Caenorhabditis elegans: one gene and its partner. The protein of the gene in region 2 interacts with the protein of the main gene of each other region in a pairwise test. Each region holds a gene or a part of one and is shown on either strand. Other genes may lie near its edges.

Evidence for each region.
Region 1: the proteins of chtb-1 (region 2) and arrd-24 interact in a two-hybrid assay, tested with the Caenorhabditis elegans proteins (one large-scale study listed by BioGRID).

The regions. Positions count from the first base shown.
Region 1 is NC_003284.9:13,978,569-13,982,144, reverse strand, and holds arrd-24 (Arrestin C-terminal-like domain-containing protein), read left to right. Parts: upstream 1-1,627; 5' UTR 1,628-1,638; coding exon 1,639-1,820; intron 1,821-1,864; coding exon 1,865-1,970; intron 1,971-2,064; coding exon 2,065-2,227; intron 2,228-2,270; coding exon 2,271-2,380; intron 2,381-2,425; coding exon 2,426-2,905; 3' UTR 2,906-3,076; downstream 3,077-3,576. Other genes in the region: F48F7.6 (Zf-C4pol domain-containing protein), read right to left, coding at 3,365-3,576.
Region 2 is NC_003281.10:9,349,334-9,357,175, reverse strand, and holds the start of chtb-1 (Chitin binding domain (ChtBD2) containing chtb-1), read left to right. Parts: upstream 1-1,830; coding exon 1,831-1,864; intron 1,865-2,208; coding exon 2,209-2,326; intron 2,327-2,373; coding exon 2,374-2,513; intron 2,514-2,776; exon of another isoform or gene 2,777-2,956; intron 2,957-3,404; coding exon 3,405-3,507; intron 3,508-3,551; coding exon 3,552-3,649; intron 3,650-3,701; coding exon 3,702-3,800; intron 3,801-3,850; coding exon 3,851-4,288; intron 4,289-4,454; coding exon 4,455-5,101; intron 5,102-5,147; coding exon 5,148-5,367; intron 5,368-5,413; coding exon 5,414-5,551; intron 5,552-5,809; coding exon 5,810-5,935; intron 5,936-5,994; coding exon 5,995-6,228; intron 6,229-6,275; coding exon 6,276-6,524; intron 6,525-6,586; coding exon 6,587-6,646; intron 6,647-6,694; coding exon 6,695-6,823; intron 6,824-6,877; coding exon 6,878-6,994; intron 6,995-7,040; coding exon 7,041-7,724; intron 7,725-7,802; coding exon 7,803-7,842.

The DNA of each region.
Region 1 (3,576 bases), on a different chromosome or scaffold from region 2:
ATATATAACATTTACTCTCTGGCTTCACCGTATTTTTTACTCTCGGGCTTCACCGTATATTTTACTCTCTGGCTTCACCGTATATTTCCCGAACTTTACCAATAATCTTAGAAAAAAATTGTCTATTCAGGGCCATATCAAGTCTCCCAAAATTCCAAAATTTTTTTTTTGTAATTTCGTCAAGGTATATGCCTGTAAAAAATAATTCGGATACAGAAACCCCTCTAGCGTGGCTTAAATTTAATTTCCAGGTCCCGAACTTTACCAATAATCTTAGAAAAAAATTTTCTATTCAGGGCCATATCAAGTCTCCCAAAATTCCAAAAATTTTTTTTTGTAATTTCGTCAAGGTATATGCCTGTAAAAAATAATTCGGATACAGAAATTCCTCTAGCGGAGTTCAAGCAGAAAAAGTGGATTTTCAGTCATACCTTTTAGTGCACAGTTTGAGAATGACTAAAAACGACCATGCAAAATTAGTAGATTTTCCAATTTTCAAAAATTAGAATCTGGCGTCAAACTAACTTTTTCAAAAATCCTGTAGCCATTTTGTTGCAAATTTTGTGTTCTTTCAGAATTTCGAAACCAAATTCAAAAAAGTGTGAAGCCAGGGAGTAAAATATTCTGTAAAGCCAGAGAGTAAAATATTCTGTGAAGCCAGAGAGTAAAATATACGGTGAAGCCAGAGAGTAAAATATTCTGCGAAGCCAGAGAGTAAAATATTCTGTGAAGCCAGAGAGTAAAATATACGGTGAAGCCAGAGAGTAAAATATACGGTGAAGCCAGAGAGTAAAATATTCTGCGAAGCCAGAGAGTAAAATATTCTGTGAAGCCAGAGAGTAAAATATACGGTGAAGCCAGAGATTAAAATATTCTGTGAAGCCAGAGAGTAAAATATTCTGTGAAGTTAAAGGCATGAAACTAAATACTCAAGATCGTCTTTTGTACATTACACTTCCAATTTAAGACTTACAGTTCCATTTCTTGCACTCCATGCAATCGTTTCTCCAGAGACGTAGTCAACTTCTGCAGAGTAGTGCACAATTTCAGTATAACTTTCCTCTTTTCCTTCACAATTACTAAACTCTTGTATGTCATTAGGTCTAGATGTCTTGGAGCTTACGTTCTGTATCGTCGTTCCCCTTCACTCCACTTCGTATGCGCAGCACCGTGAAAACAGATTTTCAAGAATCGGGCAGTGATTGGCTCGTTGGATCTCAAAACAACCTGCCCAGTAACAGTTTGACCTGGTGCATAACCTCTCGGGCTATCGAACACAATTCCAAAGTGATCCATATGTTCCATATCTAAACTAAAAAGATACAAGGAAATTTAGAATTTTAATTAAGGAAAATGTTGTATGATTATAAAATGAATGAAAACTGATAAAATGAAGTGGTTATCAAATAAATTGCCGTTTTATAATATAAATATGATTTCACAAAAATCAAATAACGCACGGTATAAGACTGATGACGACATTTTACCTCCTGATTACGCGTTTTGAGTCACAATATATTATAAAACGGCAATTTATTTGATAACCACTTCATTTTATCAGTTTTCATTCATTTTATAATCATACAACATTTTCCTTAATTAAAATTCTAAATTTCCTTGTATCTTTTTAGTTTAGATATGGAACATATGGATCACTTTGGAATTGTGTTCGATAGCCCGAGAGGTTATGCACCAGGTCAAACTGTTACTGGGCAGGTTGTTTTGAGATCCAACGAGCCAATCACTGCCCGATTCTTGAAAATCTGTATTCACGGTGCTGCGCATACGAAGTGGAGTGAAGGGGAACGACGATACAGAACGTAAGCTCCAAGACATCTAGACCTAATGACATACAAGAGTTTAGTAATTGTGAAGGAAAAGAGGAAAGTTATACTGAAATTGTGCACTACTCTGCAGAAGTTGACTACGTCTCTGGAGAAACGATTGCATGGAGTGCAAGAAATGGAACTGTAAGTCTTAAATTGGAAGTGTAATGTACAAAAGACGATCTTGAGTATTTAGTTTCATGCATTTAACTGATAACAAACTACAATATTGTTACAGGAAAAACTTCCATCTGGCCACCATGTCTTCCCGTTTGCATTTCCACTCCCGATAGAATGTCCACCTAGTTTTGAAGGTTTCCACGGCCACGTTCGTTATTCCGTGCGAGTTGAGCTTGACAGACCATGGAAGTTCAACAAAAACGAAAGGGAAGACTTCAAAGGTATTTCGAAAATTGTTAATGTGCGCAAAAAGTTATTTTTCAGTTATTCCCAACTTTGACTTGAATCATCTTCCGTTGGGAAATGTTCCTAGAATGATGAAGGATGTGAAGGACATTGGGCAAATATTTAAAAAAGGAATAGTAACAATAACTGTGAGTACAACGCTGCTACATTGATAGGTTATTTAATGCTTTCAGGTAACTATCCCCAAAGCAGGATATGCTCCTGGAGAATACCTGCCAATCACAATCGACATTGACAATGCTTCCAAACGTGCAGCAACGTTTGTGCGAGCTGAACTTCATCAGCACTCGCATTACAATGCTAGCAAAAACCATGGCCTCTTATGCACTCATTCGTCTTACCACGAACATCACAAGGATGAAAGCAAACGTATTGCAGAAGCTCGAAAAAGCATAAAAATTGCTCCAAAAACCGCTGGCCGTGAAATGCTGCGGATGAAAATCCCAAAGTCGCCACCAACATTTACAAGTCCCATTATCAGCATTGAGTATTGTCTTTCTGTGAGGTTGGACACTTTAACAACCCTTAATAATACATTGCACTGCGAGTTTGATATCATCATCGGCACAGTGCCAATAACTGAATCGATCGTGGAGCCAACGGTAACTACCTTTCCGTCTGATCCACCTGTCCTTGAGCGGCTGGATTCCTAACCTCCAGCCTATTCAACTGTGGTTCCAAGTGCTCCGACCGATGATACAGCGGGAACATCCGCTCTACCGCCGTCTTATGAGGAATCAATGTGTGTAACTAAAATTTAATTGGGTATTTTATTTTATTTTTTCTTGTATAATTGTGAATTAATAAAATTCTGGCCATTTACATTAGTCAATCAATTTTCTTTCTCTATTGCTAAACATTGAGTTTCAAAAATATTCATTTGGCAAAAAATAAGGTAGGGTAGATTCAAAAAACTATAAGGATGAATTGTAAATTACAAGTTTATTACAATCAACAGATAAGTTTAAAAAAAAACATTTCAGAAAATAATATGAGGAGTAGTGATATTCGAGATTGACGGTGAATTTTTATAGACAATTTTACAGGATTTTTTTGTGAGCCACTTTTTGTGCAGTAGTGAAACAAGATAACAGTGCAACGACGACAGCAACTTATTCTAAAAGATAGGAAATGTGAGTGGTTGTCCGGCCATAGACATTTGGACAATCTGCTTTAACAAAGACAGTACGTTGAGCAAGGCAGAAACGCTCAATAATTTCCGATTTCTTGGCCACAAGTTTGGCGGCAAGTCTTTGGCGAACACCTTTATTGTCTTCCTCTGCGTGTTTGTATTCAGATCTTTGCATTCGACGAGCTTTACGTC
Region 2 (7,842 bases):
ATTCGGAAGATGGTTTTGAATGAAAAGTGAGATTTCATTCAATTACATATGAATATGGCCAGTTACGCAAGGAACGAACTGGATGCCATCGAGAAATTAAATGGTCTTGTACTTTTGCAAAAAGAGACCGGTAAAGAAATTAGCAATGATATGCATGGAAATTATTTTCCATTTCTTTTTAATGTACGCTGGAAGTTTTAAAAACAACATTATCTTATTATCAGTTGAGCGAAAAACGCTAAAACATAAGTTACCGAATTTGCATTAACTCAATTGAATTTTTACAGTTACTTATCAAAAGCGGCTTAAATTTTTGGCTTCATCAATAGCACGGAAATTTCAAAATCGGAATGCGCTGCCAACGGATAATCCAAAAACAAAAATCGTTGTGAAGCAGTAATAGATTCAAATTAAAAGGCTTGAAATTAAAAAAAACTGAGAATAAATTTTCACAGTCCATAATATATTAGCTGCCCTGTCCAGTTCAAATTGCCTGACCAACATCGCATCGTATTTGACTAGAGGTGTCTCACTAATTGCGTGCATTGCGCACTTAGAATAATGGAGTTTTGAATTACACGAGATCTTACAAAAATGCGCGTTGTTTTTTATGTCCGGGAATTTGGATTTGGAGGGTCTCAATTTCACTTAAAAGTGGCAATGACTACAAGTGGCAGAACAGTTAAATTACAATGACTCGGTCGAATCGAAACCGAATGTGCACTTTGCAACAGTATACGAGTCGCGGTGGGCGCTTGGTGCTCGATTTTTGTTGGAAATGTGTGCATCGCGCGTCCTTCAATGTTATGGAAATATGCAGTAGTTCCGGAAAACATCATATCATTTTGAAACATTAGCTACATATTATTCGATACATGGATGGTGGATGTTTTAAGTCTTCAAAACTATATGTTTTCAAGAACAGATGTCAAGACTACTGTAGACTACTGTACTGTACTGTAAGACTACTGTAGGTCAATCACTTCCATCATAATCATAAAATTCTTGTGAAATCAACTATAAAATTACGCCACCCTCATCATCACTTCCGATTATTTGTCCTCTTTCATCCGTGCCCGGAATTCGTCCGCGCTGGTCAAGTTGAACTCGTCGACTCTTTTCTTGCCAAGAAGTTGCTCAACCCCCAAAAAACTTGATCCAGTGTTTCCTGGCGGCGGTTTTACCTCATCTGAGACGCCTTAGTGTTGCTCCCCCAAATAACCCTAAAAAAGGAAACAATAGTACTTTTTCGCAAGAGAGACCGCGACCTCGCGCGCGCCTTCTATTCTCGTGCTCATAAGCGCCGAGCTTCTATTTTCGGCCGACTTGATGTAGAAAGAGACAGAGAAAGAGTACTGACCTCTCTCCGTCTTCGCCACCTTCTCAAGCGTCGTGTGCGAATCTCCGCACCGGTACAGTATACGCGGAGAGGAGAAGAGACGAAAGATAGAAACGAAGAAGACGGAGAGGGCGGCGCGTTTCGCATACAAACCTCCCCAACCCCTCGGAAGCTTCCTATCCTCTAGCTCTCACCCTACCTGCTTCATTCGTTCTCTACCTCACCATCGGAGAGAAGACACATTTCACATCTTAACCCCCACCCACAATACCATTATTTTCAAATTCCGTCTTCTTGTTGCTCCGTTGTCTCCTCCCCTTATCTCCCACCCCATCACAGCCTTTTATCACTTTATCAGTGTTCAAATTTTCCAGCGTGGCAATTGTTGTCGAGTCCACCAAAAGAAGAAGAAGAAGATAGCAGCTTTGTTTTCCATCTGAATCGACCACCTTCTTCCATTTATCATATAATCACAAAGCAGTATACACATAATGCTGCGCAATCTCATTTTAATCACCCTCCTCGGTAAGCTTTCTTTCAAATTTTATATAATACATTCTAGATTCTGTTTATTTTTGAAAAATGTTAGCTCTAAAATTAAATACTCTCTCTTGAAAATCTATATTTTTCCATATATTTTCAGAGGCAAAAAAGTTTCTGAATAGTCTAAATTTGATCTTGAATTTAAATGGGTTTATACATAAAACTTATCAAACTTATTCCATCTTATAGTTTACTATTCAACTACTAGATTGCAAGAATTTGTCTGAAAATCTAGGCCTGAAATATCACTGTATTTTGAGAATTTAAATAATAATAATTTCCCATTCATTTTTCTTATCATTTCTCAAACCAATTTTAATTTACAGTCGCTTCTGGACATGGACAGACGCCTGTAATTGGCGGAACGTGTAAACTTGGAACTGCTGATGTTCAAATTGGAGGAAAACAGACACAGTTTTTCCTCAAGTGCGAGACGACAGCTGAGTGAGTTTCATTCAACCAAAACAACTGAAAATCTTTCATTCTTTTAGTAGTGCCGAAGGTGAAGGTGTCTGGGTTGTGAAGTCGAGAGCCGCCGCCGCTCCTTCATCAGTACCATCTGTTCCAGCTGAAAATACACAGCCACAACAACATCCAAAAGCTCGTAAACCAGCTTCCCCGAACATTTGTGGTGAGTTTCTTAGACTTCTTATTCTTCTTCATCACCAACATTTATTCCTCTATTTTAAATCGGTGGAAGCTCTTAAGTCAACTAATGAGCGAGCCCACTTCTGACCGCAAATAAACATCAACCACAGTGGTCAACAATAAGTTGAAATGAACTGTTACGAGCGATAAGGTATCTAGGAAATTGTAGAAGAAAGAAAAGTAGAAAAAAGTGGAAGTCCGACATCTCCAAGCCATATTTGCTTATGCTTCTGACAGTGTTTCTTGTGTATTTGTGTGTTTACATTTAATTCTTTTCCTTTTCCTCTCACTCAATTCAATTCATTCCAAAAAATAAAACACACACATACAAACACACAAACATCACAAATAGTGTGTAGATATTTTGCCAACGAATTCCAAAACTAGATTCACTACATTTCTTGTGACCAAATTTCATCATCTTTTCGAGGAAATTCGAGGAAAATGCGCCACTTTTGTCTGGGATCCTTTGTTTCACAATTCCATTATTTGACCACTCTAATGAACGCAAATGACCTAAATCCTCTTGATGGGAATGAAGAAAAAAACGCAACTTGCGGTGTCTTGCAATTCCTGCTTGCTCCGCCGGCTTTTGTCCACCACTCACTTGCGCACAGTGCGTTGAGAGTCGCCGGCGCGTGACCAAGAGGGGGTTCAACAAATAGGTCAGAAGGTTGATAAGAGAGTGTTGGAGGAAGGGATACGCAGCTCGCAGAGCTCACCAGTCGCCGCCGCGACCTACCGAGGAAAAGTGTTTTGTTTTTAAGAACCCCAGCGAGAAAAGACAGAAGGGATAACTTAATGAGATCGGGGATTTGGTTTAAAACTGAAATTTCATCTTATTATTCTAAATCGATCAATAAAATATTTTCAGAACAAGACAATGGAGCCCGCGAGAGCGAGGTCTGTGCCGTTTCAGCCACCTGTCTTCAGGCTCATAACGACTTCCCATCTTCCTACCTTCAATGTGACCAAACGTAGGAAACCGTTGCATAATAAAAAACAAAATGTTCAATTCCAGCACTCTCCGATGGGTCCGCAAGTCGTGCCAAGAGAACTTCTTGTTCAACTTTGAGCAACAAACTTGTATCGTTCCAAAGAGAATGAGCTCTCTCTCCCGTAAGTTGTTTTTATGATTAACCACATATTATTTCACTAATTGCTTAAACAGCATCAACATCTTCCCCATCTAACACTGAAAATCCCTGCTCGAAATGCCCACTGGGATCAGCTTGCCGCAATGGTAACTGTATCCCTTTAACAACTTCAAGTAGGTTCTAATCACACTTTTCCCGCCTATGATCTCTAACTTTCCATTAGATTTGTGTTCTGATGGTTCTCCTCCTAATAATACATGTACTCGGGATCCGTACTCTTGTCCCAAGGGACATTTTTGTACCGCACAAAAAGTGTGTTGCCCTTCAACTGCATTGCAATCATCAATTGGATGTTCGACGGTCTGCACAATCGATGAATCGTGTCCAAAAGGAATGACATGCCAGAATAACTGCTGTGAAGAAAGAAAACTACTACGACATCCAAAAGTATATCGATATGCAACTGTAGAGGCAACAAATACAATATTTGAAGTGGATAATGATATTTTTGATAGTGCTGCAATCGAATCACTCCCAACTCAAAAACCGCAGCGACTAGATGAAATTATGGCTCCAGGAATCACACCAACTCCGACAAGAACCACTGAACCTCCAAAACTTCGATGTTTGAGTAGTAACACGGACGAGGTCAATTCATTAGGTGCGTTCACTTTTCTTCCTTCCTTTTCTCATCTGTTTGTGGTCACTTTAAAGTATTTCGGAAAGAGCGCTCTCCGTTTCCACCACTGTTTACAAAGTAAATAGGAGCCTAATGAGAAGCACGCGCATTAGCTAACCACCTCATTTCATCAACTGTACTTTTATAGGCGGAGCATCATCATCATCTGCAACATGTGGAGGAACAAATGCGAATTGTACTTCTGATGAAGATTGTCCAACAACCTTCAAATGTTATCAAGGTTGTTGTAAATTGGCTGTATGTCCGAGAAGTCTAACAGCCGTCAAATTCACATGTAAAACTCAATATCACTGTAGAGCAAATGAACATTGCTTTTTTGGAGGATGCTGCCCAAAAACTATCGAATTAGCTGTGATAAAATCACAAGTTTTGACAATGAGCAAAGACAACGAGCACACCAAAGAGACAGAAAAACTGATAATTGGAGACTGTGAAGTGGATACCAGAGTTAAAAAATGTGATATCGATATTATATGCCCAGAGATGTCAGAATGTGTAGATGGAATATGCTGTAAGCAACCACCAAAGGCACGATGTGGAAATGGATTGATGGCTCTTTCGATTCCAGTTCATTGTTCTCTATCAGATGATTGTCCAATTGCTTCTAGATGTGAATATGGGAAATGTTGTCCGTTCCTCTCAGAATCTGCGGATTCCACTTCCGATAGTGTCGGAGAAACCACGCCTGTAATTATAAAAGAAGAAATAATCTCAACAGCAACAAAAGTTTGGAAGAAAGTTGACAAAACCAGTGGTGTATCGATTAACAAAAATGTAAGTTTCTACTCGAGGTGGTAAAATATTCAATGTTATTTTTTAGAAATGTTTATCCACGCAAAGATGTGATTTACATACTCTGTGCCCTCCCGATTTCACTTGCTCACTGTCGGGCAAATGCTGCAAACTGAACATTCATTGCCCAGACGGGACGGTTCCTGAAACTTCATGTCAGTCTGCTAGTAATCATGATCACTGCCCATCATCATCTCACAAATGTACTTTACTCAATAAGGAACATTTTGCATGCTGTTATAGTCCTGGTAAGAAACATGGCATCCCAAACTTAATTGAACTAATGATTTCCAGGACTTGTCGTCGAAGGAAGTGTAACAGCTGAGGTTTCCTCAGAATGCCCCATAGGATCTGTTGAAGTTGATCCAAGATTCGGAACTTCCTGCCGATACAGTTTGCAGTGTCCATCTCCCTATTTCTGTAATCAACGGGGTAGATGCTGTCAATTAGCTAATACCTAAAAGGTGAGGTTCAAAGAAAATGAACTTAATTCAAACTTTATGTATTTCAGATCCAGATACAATGCTTCAATCCCAATCTCTTTGACAAACACGTGTACACCGACATATTCAATTAAATAACATAACTAACCACATTAAACCTTCGCATGAATACTTACTTCTAACATTCTTCATTATGAAAATCCATACTCCAATAATCTCAATTTACATTTGTAATATTTATGTACAGGTCAACAAGCCAGCGGACTCGTGTGCACATTCTCTAGCTGCTCCAACTCCAACCCATGCTCCGTCGGAACTTGCAACAACGGATACTGTTGCTCCAGTGGATCCAACTCTGGCTCAGCTATTATTGGTAAGTATTTTCAATCATTTTTGATCACTTCCCACAACCAGCACACTTCCATAATTCAGATTCTGACACCAACAGCACAACTAACCCGTCACAACCAGAAACCACAAAAACCAAAAATAATACGAAAAAGTCTAACTCTAGTAAAAAGCACAGAAAACCCAAAAAGAAAGACGTGGATCCCCTCTCTGATCCACTTCTTCAAAATGATTTTCCAATCGGACCTCCTGGCTATGGGTTCCCTGAACATTTATCCAACTTGGATGAAGTTCTGATAAGAGCTCAAGGAGATGGTGGTGAGCACCTTCTAACATCACTTGCACCTTCCAGATGTCTTTTACAGTTTCTTGTGCCGGAGGTTTCCAGTCTTCCTTGATCTGCTCTGTTGGTTCAGAATGTCCAGCTGGATTGCACTGTGATACCGCTATTAACCTCTGCTGTCCGCTTTTACTACCACTCACTGATCCTAAGAACCCAAAAAAGAGAAAAACGAAGAGAAGAAAGCAAAAACAAGATGAAAATGAGATGGAAGCTTCAGCAAACTTCCCAGATTCAGATCCTGCACGATTTTCGTCTTACTCATGTGGATGCAGTAATAAAACATTTTTCTAACAAATTGTATGTACAGTCAGATATTTATATTTAACTTTTCAGTGGGCGGAGGATCCAGCAACTGCGTCGGATGCCAGAATGCCCCACAAATCATCACTATCCGTGAGTACTCTGAAAATTTGAACGCTGAACTTATTTCTGATATTTCAGCACAAAACTCATGCCCAGGAGGTGGATACTCTGTCGGAGGATGCAGCTCTGGATATTGTGCCACTGGATACAGTTGCATCCAAAACCAATGCTGCCCATCATACAACTCTGCTCCAAGAATCTCTGTCTGTAAGTTTTATAGTTTATCGATATAGGTATTTATTCAAATGAATCTTATTCTAGACACCTGCCCATCTGGAGGAAACGCTGTTGGAGCCTGCATGTCTGGAAGATGCGCTAGTGGATACACCTGTAGCAACAACGTTTGCTGCCCACAGACCACCACCACTAACCCATTCGGTAATTTTTAATGTAGACTTTACATTCTAATCTTCGAACTTTCCAGTCTGCCCTGATGGAACCCAAGCTGCTGGAGGATGTGTGAACGGACAATGCGGAACTGGATACACTTGCTCCAATGGACTTTGCTGCGCCGGAACATCAACCACTGTCAAATGTCTTGACGGATCTGACGCCGTCGGAGCTTGCATTCCATCATGCACCGGAGATGGATGCGGAGGAGTTCAAGTCTCATACTATTGCGGATCTGGATACACTTGCACCACCGGAAACATTTGCTGCCCCATCAACAGTTGTCCAAATGGAGGAGAAGTTCTCGGCCCAACCATCAATGGACTTTGCCCAACTGGATACACCGTTCAAGGAAACCTTTGCTGCTCTGCCACCTGTACTGATGGATCAACTGGTCTTCCCTCTGTCAACGGAGTTTGTATCGACGGATACTCCCTTACCAACGGAGTCTGCTGCCCAGCAAGTGTCACCTGTACCGATGAGATTTCCATTGGCCCATGCACAGGAACTGGATTCAACGGAGGATGCCCAGCCGGATACGCTTGCGATTCCAACCAAGTTAACTGCTGCCCAGTTGTCAGATATACTGATGAGTCATGCCAAGTCGGACCAGCTATTGATGGACTCTGCCCACCAGGATACGTCGTTGTCTACATTCCAAACAGTCCACTCATCACCAACGGCGTCAATCCAGGAACTTGTATCGATCTTCAGTGTAGTAAGTTATTCAATCAAAATTATATGAACAGTTTTGAACATTATATGATTTCACCTTCATTAATTATGAAAACTTTAGCCACCGGACTTTGCCTCACTGCTAATCAAATCGGAGACTG